Linked DNA regions of Callithrix jacchus. The protein of the gene in region 1 purifies or fractionates together with the protein of each later gene. This does not show direct contact. Links are inferred from orthologs where the notes say so. Each region holds a gene or a part of one and is shown on either strand. Other genes may lie near its edges. The genes, in order: NGFR and NDN.

Region 1 (3,813 bases):
TGTGGAGTTTTTCTCCCTCTGGAGGGGGCGTCTGGTTCACCGGCCGGCTGTTGGCTCCTTGCTTGTTCTGTTTGCAGCTGTTCCACCTGGGGGCAGAGGCAGAGGACAGGCCGGGTATCAGGGGAAGAGGGGCTGTAATGGTAGATGCAGCTGACGTATCTGTGCTCTGCCATGCTAGGGCCAGGGGCATGGCAGCTGCCCAACTATTAACCGCCACCTCAGCATCTAAGGCTCCTCTTTACGTATCTGCCCCCCCAACGCCCCCCCCACCCCCCTCCCGCCCCGCCTACCCTGAAAGCTCCATGAGGGCAGAGGGGGCCTCTGTAACTGTTCAGTAAATGTTCCTGAAATGAGCAGTGCTGAGGAACTAACTCCACTTCTCCCCATCTACCCTTCTAAAGTACTCCCATATGCGGGCAGTGATATATACAAGGATTTTCTCTGCAATTATAAGCAATAACAAAAAACTGGAGAAAAAAAAACAAATGTCCATCAATAGGGCACTGGCTAAATAAATTACCATCCATCCATACTATTGAATGAGTGGTTACAAATGATCAGCTAATCTACATTCCTGAGGAAAGGTCTCCTGAGGGAGGCTGAGTGAAAAAAGTAAGCTATGGAATATGTACAATGTGATCCCACTGATACCTAAAAAGCCCTCTGTGTTTACATGTCATTATAAAAGGCTTATATACATGTTTATAAAAAAGACACGCAGAAAATAGTTGGCAATGGGAAGGATCCATTCCAAACAGATTCCAATAAGGAGGGGAGTAGGATTTGAAGAGATGGAAGGGGAGTTTCACTTTCTGTTTGAAAGATATTGTCTTGTGTGCATTTTCCTAAACATGCATGTGTCACTTTGATGGTTTTTTGTTTGTTTGTTTTAGTAAAAATGGAAAATGCATTTAAAGCTTTAAAATGCTTTCTGAGGCCGGGCGCGGTGGCTCACTCCTATAATCCCAGCACTTTGGGAGGCCGAGGTGGGTGGATCACAAGGTCAAGAGATCGAGACCATCCTGGTCAACAAGATGAAACACTGTCTCTACTAAAAATACAAAAATTAGCTGGGCATGGTAGCGCATGCCTGTAATCCCAGCTACTCAGGAGGCTGAGGCAGGAGAATTGCTTGAACCCAGGAAGCGGAGGTTGCGGTGAGCCGAGATCATGCCATTGCACTCCAGCCTGGGTAACAAGAGCAAATCTCCATCTCAAAAAAATAAAAATAAAAAATAAAATAAAATGCTTTCTGGGAGTTCCTGCACATCCCGAATTCCTGGATTCCAAGTGTGACAAGGGATGGAGAGGAGACACACACACACACACACACACACACACACACACACGGGTGATGGTGGGGTGAAGGAGGTTGGGGGATGAGGACACAAGCAGTAGGGGGTTGGGAGTCAGGGAGTGGTGTGGCATGGGAGTGGAAGGGGCTGGAGGCAGGACAGGACAGGACAGGTGGGTCCTCTCCCCTCACTTCCTACTGAGCTGCTGCACCCTGGAGTGGGGCAGCGGATGATGAGTGAAGATGAGTTTGGTTTGGGGTTGAGTTAAAAGAGTGTGTGTGTTTTCAGGTCAAGGTCATGGCAAAGTCTTCCTTGAGGGCAAAATCTCCCTTCTCTGTTCCCACCATGCCCTCTCTCACCTCTTGAAGGCTATGTAGGCCACAAGGCCCACAACCACAGCAGCCAGGATGGAGCAATAGACAGGGATGAGGTTGTCAGTGGTGCCTCGTGTCACCACAGGTTGGGAGCTGCCCATCACTGTGGTTACCGCATCTGCCACCGTGCTGGCTATGATGTCTTGTTCTGGAGGTGCCTCAGGCTCCTGGGTGCTGGGGGCTGTGATGTCTGAGCCCTCAGGGGGTACAGACCGTGTAATCCAACGGCCAGGGATCTCTGGGAGAAAAGGCCACAGGAGTGAGGACCCACTTTCCCCACCCCTCCCTTTTAGGTCTGACCTTCTTCCCATGTCCCCGCCCTGGCTCCAGGTCTCTTATGCCCAGCTGTCATGCAGAGTGGGGGCTGGGATCGTATGTCCAACGTCATGACGCTCAAGAGCAAGGCCTGTAAGCGCACAGAGCTGCATCGGCTTCAGCTCCATCACTGACTTGCTGGGTGACTCTGGCCCAGCCCCCTTTTCTCTCAGGAACTCAGTGTCCTCATCTATCTAATGGGGCTATTAAAAGAGACCGTCTGAAGCTCCCTTCCATCTGGGGCTGTGGTCCTGGAATTCTAGTCCATCTCCCTGTGTACCCAGAGGCCTGGATGGGAGCAAACACACAAAGAAGCCTGGCCACAGAGAGGCCTCGAGCTGGAACCACTCCAGGAAATGTGTCTCTGGCCCCAGCTTATCCTAGATGACCCCAGTCACTCCTGTCCTAAGGAAAGAAGAGGGTATTCAGGTCTGGTCAGAGTAGTGCTCCCCACACCACCTCCCTGGGAGCTGCACCTCAATTTTTTGCACCCCCACAACTTTTCCAGTCTCACGTCCTAGGCTCTAGGCTTGGGGAGAGAGGAGGGGCGTGGGGCAGCTGCATTGCCTCCCTCCAGCCAGCCCTTGGACAGTGGCCAGCCTCTGTTTCCTTCTCGCCTGGCTCCCACCTAGCCTGGTCCTCCCATCCAGAGAAGACGGCATCAAGTCAAGCCCCAACCCTCCTTGGTCAGAAAGCAGAGAGTGTGGAGAGGGGGGCCCATGAGACAGGTCCAGCTCACTGCCTCAGCAGGAGGCTGACTGTGACTTGCCACCCACCTAGAACCTCTCGTGCTAAGTGGGCATTGCCAGCCTCCCTGGCAGGAACCCAGCCCTTCCTGGCACTGGTGGGTGGGATTTTCCATTCTGCCACACAGCCAGGAGCAGTGCTAGGGGTCGTGGGCTCTGGACAGTTTGGGGAAACTTGCCTGGGCAAAGTTGCCTGCCCCGTCCCTCCTCACTTCCCATGCCTGAGGCAGGGAGGGAAAGCAGACAGGACATGCCAGTGGGGTGAAGGGGAGAATACCTTGCTCCCAGCTCTGCCCACCCTACCCCCACTTTGCCCACCCAAGCAGGAATGGAAGCCGCCCACCCATCTTGTGACCTCTTCCACTCAAGATGAAAATGCTTCAAAGGCCGATTTTCAGCACCTTCTGAGGGGCAAAGCCCCCAGATATGAATCCGGAATCCATCTGGCTGCCATCGGTGAGGGGTTGCCATCTGCCACCCCATCCCACCCTTCCTGTCTCAGTCCTGGGAGGAGCAGAGGGAGTGAAGGAGATGGAGCCCTGTCTTCTGGCAGCCCCAGGTGGAGCGCTGGACCGGGGAGGGTCTTCTCTTGCTCTCCCAGGGGACCGAGCAAGCTGGGGGGCAGCCCAAGCCCAGAGGCTGGAGACACAGCTCAGCTCAGACTGACCCCAAGCCAGAGGCTGAAGGAGTGTGCGTGGCTGGGTGCCGGTGAATGAGACCATCACCTAGATCAGAGCATGGTAGGGGAAGGATGGGAGGGTGGCAAGGTGTGGCCAGACCAGAGGCAGCGCTGGCTCTCAGGGAGCTGCCCTCATCTCTCCAACCCTCTCTGACTGGGGTGGGGGGATGAGATCCAGATGTGGCCGCGTCCACTAGCATTCCAACCCACTAAGCCCTTGGCAGGTCCTGACAGCTATTTCCGGGCTGGAAGGAGGGACCAGGTTATCCCTACCCAACCCGAATTTCACTGGGACTGGGGGGAGCCCTTCTGCCCTGAGGGTGGGTGAGTCACCATGTTGACACCTGAAACGTACATGTGTGGCAGTATGGTACACTGGAGGGGAGGGGGCAACCAAACCAAGA
Region 2 (3,913 bases), on another chromosome or scaffold:
TTAAGAAGCATGGGGACAATAAGTCTGTTCAAGAGGCATTCTTAAAAACAAGGAGCAAAACTGGCACCCTTCTGTAAGGTGCTCCCAAGAAAATGGTAGATATCCATAAATAGGGGAAGGAGAAGAAAAAGAAGTAGATGGAAAGAAGAAAGAGGAGGTGGAGGTGGAGGAGGAGGAGGAAGAGAAAAGTGTTGAAATAATTCCAAGTAAGACTGATATCTATGAATTTCCCTGGTGGAGTGGGAAGCTAAAGAGACCAAAGAGTCCTGTTGGAGGGACTGGCGTGGGAATGGCCCTGTCAAAAGTGTCACATGCATGCCAACCCAACCAGAGAAAGCACAGAAAACCCTTCAACACCAACCTGCTTGAGGAAAATTAAAGTGACAAATGAGAAAAGATAGATACTCATAGTGAGGACTCTAGACATGTCAAGACAATTTTAAAACATGCTTTGGGCTTCAAGTGGCAATAACTAGACTCGAGACAACATATTTAAGAAGCTGCTGATGAGAGGGAACCCGGCAAGGGCTGAAGGACCACATCAACGCAGACCAAGGATGCTGAAGCAGCATGGAGGCCCCTGGTTGTGGAGGCTCCAGCAATGCCCCTTTTTCCACGGACAGCCTCTAGGAGTGACAGCTTTGCCTTGGCCCACTGGGAATCTGTTTTCTATAACTGGAAAACAGGGCTATCCATATGTTGCCCCCGCTACCTTTTGGTCATCTGAGACACCGCCAGATATTGCCCATGGGACCTATATCTTTTTGGAGATCTCAGGAAGGAATGATTTGGGTGTGACTCCCAACACTGAGGACTCAGTAGCTTCAGAGAAGGTCCTGGGAGAAGGTGAATCGGAGAATGAGGTGCTGGGCAGAGGGAAAAATGCATTATCATACAAGTTTGTGCTAATAGATATGGCAATCCTTCTGTTATGGACTAAGCATGGAAAAATAAAAGAAAATGGAATCAAAGTGACTCAAAGTAAGTGTAAAAGCCAAACCTATGCCCATGAAAGCATCAATGATGGTCTAAGCCCACTGCCTCCTGAACAAGTTCACGGCTCACGCGGGTAGGAAATCACGTTAACGACACGCTGCATTTCTCCTTTCCTTATAACCGCATTTCTCCTTTCCTTATAACCCCTCTGATGTGGTAGGGAGGGAGTCAATCAACTTTTTATTGGAATTTCTCAGGATTCCAACCTCGGACATCCGCCTCACAGTTTACACGTCTTCTCGGACAGCCCGACCGTTCCTCTCACTCGTTCACATAAAGCTCCAGTTTGCACAGCCTCCCAGACCTTCCTCTGGGGCTCTCATACTTAACTGGATTCTGGATATACCCAGGCGAGCATTTCCCAGGAAAGTCGACCCCAGCATCCCCAAAACCTGAGTTATCATCTTTCCCCAAAACCTGCTCCTTCTCCACAGGCATCCATCTCCCTCCTCTCCTACCCTGAACTTCCTCGGCCGGAACAGGAAACCCCGGGATCGCTGTCCCGCCAGGTGACGCCTCACCGCGGACCCTCCCCGTCGGGGCCCCTCGCGGCCCCGCCCGCCCCCGGCCGCCCGCCCGCCCTGGCCGCGGTCGCGCAGGCGCAGTGCCGCGTCCCGCCGCCGCCCCGCCCTGCCCGCCGCTGCGGAAGGCGCCGCGCGCAGCAACGCGCACTTCCTCTCCAGGAGTCCGCGGAGGGAGCGCAGGCTCGAAGAGCTCCTGGACGCAGAGGCCCTGCCCTTGCCAGACGGCGCAGACATGTCAGAGCAGAGTAAGGATCTGAGCGACCCTAGCTTTGCCGCCGAGGCACCCAGCTCCGAGGCGCAGAGCAGCCCTGGGGTTCCGGGGGGGGTTCCTCCGTCCGCGACCCTGGCGGAGCCGCAGAGCCCTCCCCTAGGCCCGACGGCCGCCCCGCAGGCCGCGCAGCCGCCCCAGGCCCCGATCGAGGAGGTCGACCCGAAGGCTTTGCTGGAGGCCGCAGAGGAGGGCCGCGCCCACCAGGCCCCGAGCGCGGCCCAGCCCGGCCCGGCGCCGCCCGCCCCGGCGCAGCTGGTGCAGAAGGCGCACGAGCTCATGTGGTACGTGCTGGTCAAGGACCAGAAGAAGATGATCATCTGGTTTCCAGACATGGTGAAAGATGTCATCGGCAGCTACAAGAAGTGGTGCAGGAGCATCCTGCGGCGCACCAGCCTCATCCTCGCCCGGGTGTTCGGGCTGCACCTGAGGCTGACCAGCCTGCACACCATGGAGTTTGCGCTGGTCAAAGCGCTGGAGCCGGAGGAGCTGGACAGGGTGGCGCTGAGCAACCGCATGCCCATGACGGGCCTCCTGCTCATGATCCTGAGCCTCATCTACGTGAAGGGCCGCGGCGCCAGAGAGAGCGCCGTCTGGAACGTGCTGCGCATCCTGGGGCTGCGGCCCTGGAAGAAGCACTCCACCTTCGGGGACGTGCGAAAGCTCATCACCGAGGAGTTCGTCCAACAGAATTACCTGAAGTACCAGCGCGTCCCGTACGTGGAGCCGCCAGAGTATGAGTTCTTCTGGGGCTCCCGGGCCAGCCGTGAAATCACCAAGATGCAAATCATGGAGTTCCTGGCCAGGGTCTTTAAGAAAGACCCCCAGGCCTGGCCCTCCCGATACAGAGAAGCCCTGGAGGAGGCCAGAGCTCTGCGGGAGGCTAATCCCGCTGCTCACTGCCCCCGCAACAGTGTCTCCGAGGACTAGCAAGGTCTGGAGGCAGATGAAATGCTTTCTGACCCTCACCGGGGCTGTGGAAGGGTGGGGGTGGGTCATTAGAGTGTTCGGGATTTACAGTGCAGTATTCACGTGTAACTTTTAAGTTTTCAGTACAGTGCTTTTATACCTTTAATGCAATGTTGTATTCATTTGGGTACTCTTGTGTAGTATTTAGGATGTATGCATGTTTGTTTATATGTAAGCTTGGTTGGTGCTTTCGCTTTTGTGCTACCTTTCTTGGATTTTTGTACCTGAGACATGCTAAACTGACGAAGTACCTTGAGAAAGTTTGCATCTTATTATTTTATATGGGACTGGTGATGTGTGTTGGGGTAGACTGCTCCTGCAGAGTTTGGAAGAACTCACCAGCAAAGCTGGCCTAACCAAGAGAAAAGTCAAGGCTCTTCGTGACCTTGCTGGGCACAGAAGACATTCTCGTGGAGTAAACTGATTTGAACTGGACTGGTCTCAATGTGAGCACTTGGCACAATTTACTAAACACATATACAACCCTACCGTGAGTCAACTTTAAAGTAAACATTAAAGATTCTTGTGATACAATCATTTTTGGAAAAGTGTACTCTTATCATTTTAACAGAGCACTATGATTGGGAATGAGACAATTCTCTATTTTACAATGTGTACAGATGTAACTGTTTCCCCTAATAGGGTGGGAAAAATCGCTACTCGTGATTACTCCTAAATTTGTGAAGGTTATAGTTTTATTGTCTTTAAATGTAATTGTTTATTTCAAAAACATGCACAAATATAAAGTATAAAAACAAAGCAGTATGATTGTCCATCATCACATCATATGAGAATAAAAACTAAAAATAACTTCCTTCCCTTAAGTTTCTATATTTTATCAAAATTAATGGATGTCTTGTGGGCACTTAAAGAGTGAGACATTGTACTCAGCCCTAACATGTATTTTTCCCCTTTTATTTAACCCTCACAACAGGCCTGTGAGGAAGGCATCTACTGCCTTTGCACCATGGAGGAAACAGGAATAATGTAGGTAATTAACTTTCCATAGCTTGTAAAGGTTAGCAAGAGAAGGAGCTGGCACTTCAACTCAGAATGAATCCAGAGCCCACATTTGTCCCCACCTGCCTACAATCCCTCATACACCCTGTGGCTTTTAGGTTATTTATTTTCAAACTTATTTTTACATTTTACGTGG

Evidence for each region.
Region 2: the proteins of NGFR (region 1) and NDN purify together in Homo sapiens (affinity purification with western blotting; 3 studies listed by BioGRID). This does not show direct contact. The link is inferred for Callithrix jacchus from reciprocal best matches to the Homo sapiens genes NGFR and NDN.

The regions. Positions count from the first base shown.
Region 1 is NC_133506.1:116,797,438-116,801,250, forward strand, and holds part of NGFR (tumor necrosis factor receptor superfamily member 16), read right to left. Parts: intron 1,908-3,813; coding exon 1,655-1,907; intron 87-1,654; coding exon 1-86. UniProt on the Homo sapiens protein: Low affinity receptor which can bind to NGF, BDNF, NTF3, and NTF4. Forms a heterodimeric receptor with SORCS2 that binds the precursor forms of NGF, BDNF and NTF3 with high affinity, and has much lower affinity for mature NGF and BDNF.
Region 2 is NC_133507.1:5,529,490-5,533,402, forward strand, and holds NDN (necdin), read left to right. Parts: upstream 1-1,664; 5' UTR 1,665-1,752; coding exon 1,753-2,718; 3' UTR 2,719-3,564; downstream 3,565-3,913. UniProt on the Homo sapiens protein: Growth suppressor that facilitates the entry of the cell into cell cycle arrest.